2 linked regions of the Oryzias latipes genome follow. The protein of the gene in region 2 purifies or fractionates together with the protein of the main gene of each other region. This does not show direct contact. Links are inferred from orthologs where the notes say so. Each region holds a gene or a part of one and is shown on either strand. Other genes may lie near its edges.

Region 1 (6,461 bases), on a different chromosome or scaffold from region 2:
ACAAACCCGCCCTGCTCCAAACATCCGGTCTAAAAAATTAAAGGGACTCGTAGAAATAAAACCACCTTCCTCACTTCCGGGGGCGACCCCCCCCCCCTGCAGACACAGCGTTGTGTCTTTGTCCTGAAGGATCTGATGCCCCCCCTGTCGGGAGTTCATGTGAGTTCATTGATCATCCATGGGGGGGGCTTTTTCCTGTCTGCTTCAATCCTCAAAGCAAACGATCTGAACAGTGATTGGCTGGTGTGCCCCCCTCCCTCAGGGAGCCTCCTCTATACATTAGCAAGTCGAAGCAAAGCTGAGCCCCCCCCATTGCTGGATGAAACACAGAGGATGGGGGAGGGGCGGACAGACATGCTGCCCCCCACCCTAAAAAAAATAAAGTATGAAAATAAAAATATAGAGGCGAAACATTTTCCTACTTTAGACTGATGATGGGGGGGGGGGCTGTCTCTAAAAGGGACACTCACGCCAATTCCTGCTGGCGGGGCAAACCCCCTCCCTGCTACCCCACCCCCCCAAAAACCCTCCCCCCCTCTGCTTCCGGCTGGTTGGTTGGGGGGGTCCCTGCTTTAGGGAGGGAGGGGGGCAGGCTGCTCTCCTCCTATGGCGTCGTCCGTCGCCCCAGAGGCCTCCGCGGCGCCCCCGCTCATCTCTCCGTGACATGGTTTTGTGAGGAAGGAGAGGGGGCGGAGCTGGGGGCGGGGAGGGGGGCGGGGTTGCAGAGTACTTCGGACAGGTCGTCCATGATGCAGGTCTCCTTGGGGTCCACCAGGTTGAACTCCCGCACGAAAACCACGAAATGTGCAAACAGAGTGTTCAGGTGGCCCTGCAGGTCCAGCGCCACCGTCTCCTTAAAGTGCGCCCAGTACAGGTGCGCCAGCACGTGGAACAGGTACCGGCAGATCTTCTTCACCAGCGACTCAAACGAGTTGGGGAACTCTTTCCCTGGAAGGAGGAAGAGGAGAAACCGGTTTGAGGGCGGGAGGAGCAACCGGGACGGCGCTCCGAAGATCAAAGGGAAGCGGAAACGTCGCCGTTTCAGAAAAACGGGGAAATCTTTTGGATTTGACGGGAAAAAAACGCATTTGTGTAACGGTGTCTTCATTGGGGGCGTGACTTCATCGCATCATCACAGATATTTACAGACAGATTAACACTTATGGCAAAAACAATCACGTCTGACGTCACTGTCGGCGCCCGTCTTTGGTTGTGTCCGAATTCCCGCCTTACTCGCTCTCTGGCGTTCGCCCTTCCGTAGTGCTGTCAGAATCTACAACTCCAGAACGCAGCGCCCAGGAAATTTCCCAGAATTCTCTGAAAAACCAGTCTGAACCTATGCTCACTAGATCGGCGTGTATGGACCACAATGCATTGCGTCGTTTAAATGTTTTTTTTTAATAAACGTTGTAATCTTCAGAAGACACTGGACTCATAAATAATCATCTCAAAACGCTCAAGTTCATTAGATTTTCACTCTGAAATGCATCAGAATGGCTTCTATAATCCAGGGCACTGCATGGTCCCACTATAGACTGTTTTAGTAGTTAGGGCGGGGGTTCGGACCCCCCACCAGTCCATGAACTCCATCAATGTGCCACCAAAAACCAGCCACAGCTTTGATCCATCGTGATGACCAGGCGTTCGTTAGCATCGATAAAGCAGACGTGGAGGACGGTAAACTGTGTTTCTCTGTGGAGAATATGTTTTATGCGTTAAGTCAGAGACTCTGGACTGGATGATTGGTTCTCATTTTTGTTGGAGATTAAAAAAATTCCCTTGTTGGTGACAAAGTAAAGGTTGTTTTAGGAAAACTTCATAAGTTATATTTTGATGTCATGAATTCAGATTAAAAAACCCTCAAAATGAGGCTTTTGGCAGAAATTCTTAGGTTAGATTGTAAATCTGGCATGACAGCTCTACGTTTACTCTTCCTGTCGGACTCTGCAGCATCACTGAAGCTCCGCCTCTGCACCAGCAGGGGGCGCTGATCTCACCGTATTTAGTGGGGAAGATCTCCTCGTCCGTCACCAGCTTCTGACAGAGACTCATGACGAAGTCGACGTACTGCGGCGCCGTGCACTTCGTCTTCCTCCCCTTCTCGTCATACCAGTAGTAGGTTCTGGAAGAGAAAGATGGCGTCAATGCCGCCGCCGCAGCGTTTCACAACAGCATGGGGAAAGGGGGCGGGGCTACTCCAGGGTACAGTCTGGAATGGAGGATCGGCTGTGGGGGCCACGTTTCCTGGAGCGTGCGTCAGATGAGCAGGTCACATGACCTCCTCTCTGTCAAACGTCACCTGCTGCTTCAGAGGCGACATCAGAACCAGAACCTTCCTGGTTCAGAGATCATGAGATACCCCCCCCCCCCCCCCCCCCCCCCCCCCAATCCAGAAACCTGCTGCACTGTGGGTTTAAAACCAGAACCTTCCAGAAGTTCTGAGCTCCTCATGAAAGAGCCGTTCGGTTTTGGCTGTGAACGCCACAAAGGGGGGGATAAGCCGGGATGGATCCAGCCCCCCCCCCAACCATAGACCGCTTTAAGTGCGGGTTAAGAGCCCCCCCCCCCCCCCCGGAGCTCATGGAAACATTTGCTCTATTTTTAGAAGCTGGCGGCGCCTGCAGGCCCAGAATGACGCTGCTGCAACCGTGGCTCTGCCAGAGTTCACCACAGAGGGGGGGGCACCCACAGGGAAGGGTGGGGGACCCACAGGAAAGGGGGGGGGGGGACTGGAGCCCAACAGTCAGAATTACAGACACTGAAGTCCAGAGAGGAGGAACCGTTTCTCCTCTGGATCCAATCTCTGGCTCCGCCTACGACCGAACCGGCTGCTGCCCCTCCCGCCGGCGCCAAGCCTGCTTCTGGGTGGAGTGGAAACCCCCCCCGGGCCGACCTCCTGGCCGGCTGGGTCAGAGCGGCTCTTCCAGTGGAACCGGCTTCCCCAGCGGGAAGGATGAAAGGCATCCCGCCAAAAAACAACACAGGCGGAACCACACCCCCCCACACAACAGCAGGTAGATCAACCGCCTCCCTGGGAAAACTGCAAAGGGGCGGGGCTTCAAACAGCAGCAATAGTGCAAGGTTTGATTGATGAAAACGATCAAAGCACAGCAGGAATCACACACAGTCTGGGACGCTGCACCACAGCCACAGCATAGCTGCTGTTTTCATTTAGCAGCAGTGGGTCTAACCCTTCGGCCCGTTCCCAGACGGACCAGAACTAGCCGACCTCACGTGACCCTTCGGGAGGATCCGGGGGTTAAAGGACAGGAAGGGGGGCTTACGTGCTGCAGGCGGCGCTCATGGCCTGGCAGGTGTCCCCGGTGCAGAACTCGGATATGGTGCTGTACTGCAGGTTGATGAGGTTGAAGAAGGTGGTCGCTGTGGAGGAGAGGGCAGCACGTTAGGAGGAATCGGATCAGAACCGAACATTCTGGTCTACAGACCGAATCTGGAAGGGTTCCCACCTTCCAGAACCTTGCTGGAATTTGTTATTGCGGAACCTGACTTCAGACACGTCCAGAACGTTTGTGACACATCAGCCCCCAAACACATGACAGAAGAGAGGAGCTGAACCCAGAGGGGCTCAGAGGAGGCATGTGAGTCGGGGTGGGGGGGGGGGGGGGGTGTATCGGACTATTTTATTTGTCAACACTAGAAAGCCCAAACAACCCTGAGTGAATTTAGAAGCAGACGTGTAGTTCAACCTCCGACCACTAGTGGGCAGCGCAGAACGCCTTCCTGTTTCAGCCGCTCGGCGCCAAAACATCACCGCCTGAACCGCCTCGTGGCAGAGCTGACTCAATTGCTGTGTTTTTAGTTTAGTTTGTTTTAAAGCTCCGGTTTGAGCTCCGTTAGAACCGTTTCAGAACCGGTAAGAATCCAAACTACCCATCCTGGTTGGTGTCTTTGGTGGTTTAATGCTAAACTCATAAATAAACAGAACTTCCTTTTCTTATAGAACCTTATTGGTTAAAGCTCGTCTGAGCTTCGGTTCTTCATACTGAAAGTTCTGTTGTCGTGGAAACCAAACGGTGCTGAAAACCTTTTTCCTTAATGAACCAACCAGAAGAACCAGGAAGTTGCTGTTCTCAAAGCTTCTGCCATGTTGGATAGCGCCTCAAAGGGATTTTATGGTTGAATGCACGTGAAAGGTGCTTTATAACTTTTCCCGCCCAGAACCGGCCCACCTGAGAGAGCCGGATCTGGGCGGGACAATCTTGTTCAGACGCTTGTCACTCACTGTTGCTGGCCAGCCATTCGTTCAGGTCTATCTCCCGGGGCAGCACCACCAGCTCCTTCAGGTCAAAGTCCACCACCCGGGTTTTGGTGAACTCCGGCTCCAGGTACTGCTTCTTCTCCTCCACCGGCGCCTTCTTTCCGTTGGGCTTCGGCTTGGACTTCCTGCGACACAGAGAGGAGGAGGAGGGGGGTTAAAGTGGAGAAGAGGAAACAGAAGCTGTAGTATGTCGGGGGAGGACGGCGTGAAAGGAGGGGGGAGGAATCTCCCTCGCAGCTCCACGTCATGCGGCTGTGAAACAAAACCAACCGGATTTTCAAGAAGCGCCAACAGGAAGTCACCTGTCAGTCTGATGACCCCAATAATGTTTCTGGGAAAACAGAAACTTTCACAGGACCCCACCCCCAACAGAAAACAGCACGGGGTGGGGGGGGGGCATCACGCCAGCTTTCCAACTTCTAGCAGACGCTCGGCCGTCCACGGACGCCTTTGACACCTGGACGCCACATCACACCCCGCCTTCACGTCCAGAGCTCCCCCTCCTCCTTCCCCCACTGACCCAGGCGCTGATTCTGAGGAACAGAAGAGGGGCCAGAACACTGTCCCACCTTCAACTCGCGGGTTCGATTTCTACAAAACTGTTTTTAGTCCCTGAGCAGCTTGTATCACAAATGGAGAAGAAAGACGAAGATCAGCGACCCGCTCCAGGCAGAGACTCCCTGCCCTGACCCCCCCGATGTATTTCTGCAGGAAGAGCTTTTAGCCTCTGCAAACAAGCAGGCATGTCCACACGGGGGTGGGGTGGGGGGTCAGTAAACATACAGAGATCTCCATCAGCGTTTGAACTTCCCAAGTCATTAAACCGGGTCAGAACCACTTCATGATGAATGTCAGGACTGTTCTCTGATCAGATCTCCAGCTGCTCCTCATCGTCATCTTCCTCCTTCAGGCTCATCAGGTCAGAGTTAGATGTCTGGACGTTTGTCCAAAGCCCCCCACCACCTCAAATGAAGTCCTTTTACAGAAGTTCTTGCGGGACCCCCTCCCCCAGGTTAGGGGTTCATCCCAAGAACCTGCCGCTGCCAGGTTAGGCTGCATTAGAACATCTACCTGACGCTCTACGACAACGGGACGTCCACAAAGACGCAGCAGACATGCAGCTCAGTTAGGGGCGGAGCTAGCAGCCCGCCGTCAAGAGTTCTGACACCTCAGGAGAAGCTTCTCCAGAAGCAGGAGAACCTCAGGGTTCTGTCTGGAGAAGGAGGAGGTTCTCAAACATCTGCTGAAGCTCCTTGTTTGCTCCTGCGGTCCTCAGAGGAGGAGGTGCAGCGTGACCGTCTCTACCTGTTCCAGGTGTTCCAGGAGAGGGGGCAGCGCTCAGCCGCTCGTTAGTCTCCACAGCAGTTTCTGTCTGGAAACAGGTGAAGCCCGGCTCGCCACGCCCATATTTAAGGACACGCCCACCTGTTTAGTCATATGATCACTGTCAAATTCCACTGAGAAATTCCAAGTGTGAGGAAGAACCCACGAAAGAAGATCTAAAGAGGATCTAAAGAAGATCTAAAGAGGATCTAAAGAGGATCTAAAGAAGATCTGAAGAAGATCTGACGACTATAGTTTTAGATCAGAGAAGATTAAAAAAATAACTTTCAGGGCTGAAGTGTGAATTCTAATCAGATCAGAAACATGACATAAAGGTGGAGATTTCTGTCTGCACTGATCAGGAAATGTTCAGCTTCACATCTCCCACAGTCACCTGGACCCGCGGGACAGAAACGGCACGTGGGGGCGCCCTCCCCCCGCCCTCGCAGCACAGACCGAGAGCGGCGTCCGAGCCACCCGCGCGCGCCTCCTGACGGCCCGGTTGAAAGCAAAGTGTCGGAAGATCAAAGGCGAGTACCTGAGGACTTTCCCGACCGCCTGCAGAACCATTTTAATCCCGTTCTTAGAGTTCTTCTGCGGGTGCATGACCGCCTGGTCTCCGGGACAGGAGCCGGAAATCTCCGCTCACAACACGGAGAAACGCGGCTCCGCTCCGACGCGCCCGTCTGGACTCCTCACAGACTCGGGAGCTGCGCGGAAGACTCTGCTCCCTCCGCCGCTCTCAGCCAATCAGAGCGCGCGGGGGGCGGGCAGAGGTGACGTCAAACATCCGCCCATGTGGCCGTGGTTTGTCCTCTGTGTGTAATTACACCGTCAGGGATCAGCTTTTTCTGTCCTT
Region 2 (6,461 bases):
AACTTTCTTAAAGACGTCGTTTAGTTTGCAAAAGGTCATGTATGACGACATATGTGGATATAGTTTAGTCTGAAGTGCTTTAGCATAGCAGGACTCAGGCCCTTAGAGGGGGCTTCCCAAACCTCACGCTGGAGCATCGACCTGGCTGTCGTTTATTTGGGAAAACCGATTCAAGGCAGGGAATCATCACAGTTTGATCATCGTAAACACAGAATTACCGGGGTTCCTCTGTGCTCCTCACAAAAGTCCAAACATTTATTATGCACTTTGAGAAATATTCCTACTTCACGTTTCAGCACATTTCTGTAGATCTGAACAGTCTGAGTGAAAAAAAACCAAAGAGTTGAAGGGATGTTATGTTTCTCCATGCACACCGGCCCTCTGAGGTATTTATGCAAATCTGAAGGTTGAAAACATCTGGAATGGGGGCTTCCAGCAGCTGTTCATCAGCTTGGACACTTCAGACATGGTTTCCTTCTCACTGAAGTTTTATTTTTGACACAATGAACCTAGAATGTATGTCTGACATGTGGTCATCGTGCTGGTTCTGGTCTTGGTTTCAAAGGGATCCAGAGCCCTGCAGTCACTGACACAGGCCTCCAGCAGCTAAATCTGCTCTCGACATGTCTGCTGGTGCCATGTGGTCAAAGTGAAGCTGCCCCCTTAGTCCCATGAAGGGATGTTCATGAGCTGTGAAACTCTGACATCCCATCCAAATAGTTTGGCGTCTTACAGCTCAGAGGGCCGGAGACGGAAACGGAGCGTTAACTGTGACCGCCATCGTAACCTTACAAAGGCCTCAGTCTGGGTGGAGATGAAAATGCAAACCACAGACGAGAGCCGCAGCTTTGGACTTTGCTTCCATGAAGACGGTTTAAATCAATATCAAAATAAAAAAGGGCAACAGTATATAAAGCTGTGCAAGTGGACAGATGACAGAAATGTAGTGAGGGTGTCATGGCGGGTCTGAGTCGCTCTCTGAACTCGGTGTCCGACTCCCAAACTGATTCATAATCAGAGAGAAATGACAAATGAATGAGTCTAATTAAAGTTATGGTTTTGCAGATAAAGCATGGCAATGACCGGACAGAGCTCGTTTTCCTCCATGAGCAACCACACCAAGGAGCGGGTCACCATGGCCAAGGTGACCCTGGAGAACTTCTACAGTAACCTCATCGCTCAGCACGAGGAGAGGGAGATGAGGTGAGCTCCTTCCACCAGTCATTCCCAGCATTCTCTGCGTCTGTCAGCTGGAATGCTGGCTGTCTTTTTGAGGGGACGGCTGCAGACGTTCTCGCCTCATAAGATGAAGAAATGCTACTTCCTGTTAGGAAACGTTGTCATTCCTCCTCTGGTTCCAGTACAGAGAATGTTTGATGTCACTATATAGTTTTTCATATCAGGTAATAGTGATGTATATCACAATATAAACCTATATTTGTCTAATGTGATGTGCTCATAATAGAAATGTGTGATCATCAGCAGGTTGTTCAGGTCTAAACCTTTATTTCCATCATCCTTTAAACATAACAGATGAAGGACCGCGATTAAAGCAAAAGCTTTCCAAGAGAACATCAGGAAAACAGAATGTTAAACTGTTTGAGCTGTTCCATTTAAAAACAAAACATTTACTCTACAAATAATTTAATTTTTTTTTTAGTTTTACAGAACAAACATTTTTGTCAACATCCTGTGAATAATGTAGGAACTAAAAGCAAAGTCTCAGAGTTTGTCCTGGTAGTCAGACTGTTGCTGCTGTTCAGGTCTGATCGTTGTTGTTTTTGCTGGAGAATCCTGGTTTCCTTCAGTGACATTGAACATGATTGGTGGATCTGCTTCAGCTGATAAAACAGGTTAATGCTGTTTCCAGTTTTAGAAGGAAGATGACTTCTGCACCATTTGCTGTAAGTTACTCTGTTTTATGTCAGATTTTAAATAACTGTAATAACTCCACACAGAGGCTGAAATAAAAGTTTTGAGTCACCGACCATGTTGGCCGTCTGATTGGATAACATCTACCAGCTAAACATATTTTTTTACTGGTCAAATGATAACATTATTCACACAGAAATACCTTCAGAATTTTCTTTAGGAAAAAATGTAATTGCATAAAAATAATTTATAACTGGTTTGAACACGTCTCTAACGACTTGACTTTGAAAATGAGGCCTAAAAAAGCATTTTAAAAAGTCTTAAATTTTGATATGTTGCTCTTAACAATAGTGCAGATCAAATCTTTTATGATGTTTCTGGTCTAAAGTTTTTTTTTTTCAACCATGATTTTGTAAGTAAAGTGCGTAATGCAGCATCATGCTGGATGCCTACCGCTGATTTAAAAAAAGAGAAGAAGACAAAGCTGTGAGGCTGGGAACTGGAGTCAAGCACACATGACTCCTTCACTGTCCTCTCTACAATGGCTCCCAGGCCACTTTAGAGTTGATTTAGACTTTTTACTTCCCTTTTTTTAAAGTCTTGCATTGACAAACTCCTGCAAACATTTTTGGCCTTTTCACCCCCTGAGGTCCATCAACCAAAAAGCTTTACAAATCCCAAAAGGTTGCACTAAAACCGGAGAAGACCTCACCTTTCAAGCTGTGGCTGCTCGCTCTGGAACGACCTCCCGCTGGCATTTAGACACATCGATGTCTTTGTAGTAATTATAAGGAACTAAGCAACCTCTGGCTGTGTTCAGCATCTGTAAACCGTGTGACTCATGCCAGACAAGTGTGATGAAGGTATTAAGAGGGAAGATCAGGTCTGTAGACAAAACGGGGCAGCAGACCTGATGATCCGTGTGTTTGTAGGCAGCAGAAGCTGGAGAAGGTGATGGACCAGGAGGGCCTGGCTGACGAGGAGGTGAGGCGCTGCAGCATCTGCCAATGAGCAGAAGGATCGACCTGTTCGGTGACGCTTCTTCTTTTCAAATGAAAATCTTCTGCTTCTGTGTGCAGAAACGTATCCGTCGCTCCGAACATGCCAGGAAAGAGACCGACTTTCTGCGTCTGAAGCGAACTCGACTGGGTCTGGAAGACTTTGAGTCCCTGAAGGTGATTGGCCGAGGAGCATTTGGAGAGGTAAGGGGGGGTCGTTCTCTATTTTTCCATCAGGGCCACAAAGAGGCAAACATGGTAACACAGAGTCCCAGTGTGACCTTTACAGTCCTGGAGTTAGTTGATCTTTTTAAACTCAGTAACTCGGATCAAACCGTTTGAAGTTTTGATTCTTTTGTTTGGCCCTTCTGTTTCTGTGTTTTCCTGTGTTTCCTCTGGCCTGGCCTGGCCTGGGATGTTCATACTGACTGCTGTCCTTCCAGGTCCGCCTGGTACAGAAGAAAGACACGGGCCATGTCTACGCCATGAAAATCCTTCGCAAAGCTGACATGCTGGAGAAGGAGCAGGTGAGACCTCAGTGTTCCTGCTGTGGAAAGCTGCTCCTCATCTGCTGAAAGTGGTTCATCCGTTTGTCCATCGTTATCCCGCTTTATGCTAGTTTGTCTCACGTTTATTCCTCCTTGAACTTGGTTCGTCTGTGTCTGTAGGTCGGTCACATTCGTGCTGAGAGGGACATCTTGGTGGAGGCAGACAGCCTGTGGGTGGTCAAGATGTTCTACAGCTTCCAGGACAAGATGAACCTGTACCTCATCATGGAGTTTCTTCCTGGAGGTGAGTCCAGGAGTTTGTCTGCAGCTGTTTTTCATCAGACCTGGACTGTGGTGGAAAAGCTGTCAGGGTGTTGATTGTCATGTTCTCTGAAGGGGACATGATGACCCTGCTGATGAAGAAGGACACTCTAACAGAAGAGGCCACTCAGTTCTACATTGCAGAGACGGTGCTGGCCATCGACTCTATTCATACGCTGGGCTTCATCCACAGAGACATCAAACCAGACAACCTGCTGCTGGATGCCAGGGTGAGTGTCCTCTTCCTCATCCTCCTCCTCCTCCTGCAGGGTCAAAGAGTGGAAGTTTCAGGAGACGTGGACAAATGCACGATGCGACTTTTTGCCAATGTTCAAACCCTTGTTTGAATGTGTCCCTAAACCTAATGAGACGAAGGAAAGGTCACTGCAGTTCAGCTCAGGTAACCAGTGAAAAGGCTTTGTTTGTACCTCAGCCGTTTCCTGTCCTACACTCCAGTCCTTCAAATGGCTGGAACCCAGCCCTGGTTCTGGTTCTTGGAATAGTGAAAGGCTGATGTATAACAGGAGCTGAAGAGAACAGAGGAGGAGAGTTTTGTTTTACACAGTGAGAGATGAATGAATTTACCAGGTTTAGAGTTTGAAGTCTGCTTCAGGTGCTCTGTGTTCATCCTGGTCTTACAGACAAAGCAGATTTCCCTCCAGGACCTGCAGCTGCCCAGTTCTTTGTGTTCACACTCGGGCCAATCCAAGCTACTGAACTCATGCAGTATCTGTTTGCTTGGTGTCTCCAGGGTCACGTGAAGCTGTCAGACTTCGGTCTGTGCACGGGATTGAAGAAGGCTCACTGCACGGACTTCTACAAGAACCTGAACCACAGCCTGCCCAGCGACTTCAGCAAGCAGAGTCAGCAAACACCTTTCTCTATAACGTCTGTGGGGGTTTCTGCTCTGAGAACAGTCTCAGGCTGGTTCAAGCTCCAGGAGCTGCAGACCTCGTGTTGTCTGGCTGTCGACAGCTCCTCCCATACGTTTTTGATTTGGCGTCTTGGTGAAGAGGCGGAGCTGCACCTGTGAGAACCAGGTGCTGATCAACCCAAATCTGGGACGAGCTGTTGTCTGGCAGCCATGAAGTCTGCTTCTCAAAGAGGATGAAGCAGCCTTCCTTCACCCCTCTCCCTCACTGTCTGTCCGAGCTTATGCAGGAACGCGTGGGGGTCAAAGTTACACAATGAAAGAAACGACACGAGAAAAGCTGTGGCGAGTTATCGGCTGAAGTTTCGGCTTCATGACAGGCGTCAGCAGTGAGGACATGAACAGTGACTGTGTGCAGTCTTATGGCTTTTTTTCCTGTCACTTTCACTCCTGACCCCCCCACCCCGGCTGCTGGGGATGCGCTGACGTCTGCTTCAGGTAGAGCTAAGGGGACCTGCCTTGTTAAAGCAGGTTATCAAGTGTCATGGAAAATCCTGCTTCTGTAGGCCGGTGGGGTCAGTTTGTAGGCTAACAGAGGAAGTGTCTGTCTGGATGGAAACATTTATGGTTTTCCTGAAAGCCACGCATAACCAACTATTAAAAGCCCTTTCTGGGATCATTACTTTCTGTCAACAAGTCAGAATAAATAATATTCCTTTGAATGAAATAAAAAATACCCCTGCCCAGGATAAGTGAGGGTCCCAGAATAGCGTTGTAAATATGGCCACCGGAGAAATCCAGAGGAGTAAAACTTGGTTTCATTCATCAATAAAACAGTCACAAAGGTAGCCTCTCTGGGGGCTGCAGCTCCTTTCTGGGGGCTGCAGCTCCTCTCTGGGGGCTGCAGCTCTTCTGGGGGCTGCAGCTCCTCTCTGGGGGCTGCAGCTCCTCTCTGGGGGCTGCAGCTCCTTTCTGGGGGCTGCAGCTCCTTTCTGGGGGCTGCAGCTCCTTTCTGGGGGCTGCAGCTCCTCTCTGGGGGCTGCAGCTCTTCTGGGGGCTGCAGCTCCTCTCTGGGCTGCACTGTGAGCTGCACGTCTGTTTCTTTGCCAGTGCTAATGGAAAAAGGTCATTCTCTTGTCTTCTGCTGCAGCTTGGCATTTCTATGCTTTACATTTTAAAAGTAACTCTCATGGTGAAATCCACAAAGTAGGATTAAAGATGTTGAAGGCATTTTCTGGTCTTTTCTGAGACAGACATGAACATTCTCAAAATGTTCTCTCGTTTACACTCTCAAAGTTTAAACCTTCAGAGAAAAATAGGTCCAGTAAAAGATCTGATCGTGATTTAGGATGACAGACCACAGCAGAGATTGATTGACAGCCAAACAGAAGACAGAACAGGGTGTTGTTCAGGGGCCAGGCTAAATGTGGAGGTGGTCTGAATCTGGCCTGCGGGCCACAGTTTGGGGGCCAGTGCTTTAGAGCAGAGGTGGGGTATTCTGTGGCCTTCCAGCAGGGGGCAGTAGTCTCTAACCTGCCTTCTTTTCACAGCCTTTCAGAACATGAACTCCAAGAGGAAGGCAGAGACGTGGAAGAGGAACAGGAGGCAGCTGGTAGGTGTGGATGCATGCAGCATCAGTGAAGATTATGTTGACATTCAGGCCTGAATGTCCCTCAAATGCAGCATCACCACCAAAGTGTCCAGAAAAATCCATTCAGATGGAGGCTGATAATTCCTGCTGATGTGGTGACCCCTGAAGGGAGCAGCTGACGGGCAGAGAGTTTTCATGTCTGACCTGATTTCCCACATTGTGTTAGGAGCATCTGCTGTTTAACTGCTTTCCTCTAAAGCTTGTTAATGCTCCCGTTTCAGTTGCCATTTGGGTTCCTCGTGCCCACCGCTCTGATTGGA

The links.
Region 1: the proteins of stk38 (region 2) and mob2 purify together in Homo sapiens (affinity purification with mass spectrometry; 7 studies listed by BioGRID and IntAct, with this or other methods). This does not show direct contact. The link is inferred for Oryzias latipes from reciprocal best matches to the Homo sapiens genes STK38 and MOB2.

The regions. Positions count from the first base shown.
Region 1 is NC_019864.2:31,186,926-31,193,386, forward strand, and holds part of mob2 (MOB kinase activator 2), read right to left. Parts: intron 6,313-6,461; exon of another isoform or gene 6,209-6,312; coding exon of another isoform or gene 6,141-6,208; intron 4,405-6,140; coding exon 4,244-4,404; intron 3,382-4,243; coding exon 3,285-3,381; intron 2,123-3,284; coding exon 1,998-2,122; intron 949-1,997; coding exon 650-948; 3' UTR 1-649. UniProt on the Homo sapiens protein: Stimulates the autophosphorylation and kinase activity of STK38 and STK38L.
Region 2 is NC_019865.2:33,690,014-33,696,474, forward strand, and holds part of stk38 (serine/threonine-protein kinase 38), read left to right. Parts: intron 1-1,065; 5' UTR 1,066-1,072; coding exon 1,073-1,203; intron 1,204-2,804; coding exon 2,805-2,856; intron 2,857-2,951; coding exon 2,952-3,074; intron 3,075-3,313; coding exon 3,314-3,397; intron 3,398-3,538; coding exon 3,539-3,662; intron 3,663-3,754; coding exon 3,755-3,909; intron 3,910-4,430; coding exon 4,431-4,542; intron 4,543-6,100; coding exon 6,101-6,162; intron 6,163-6,461. UniProt on the Homo sapiens protein: Serine/threonine-protein kinase that acts as a negative regulator of MAP3K1/2 signaling. Converts MAP3K2 from its phosphorylated form to its non-phosphorylated form and inhibits autophosphorylation of MAP3K2.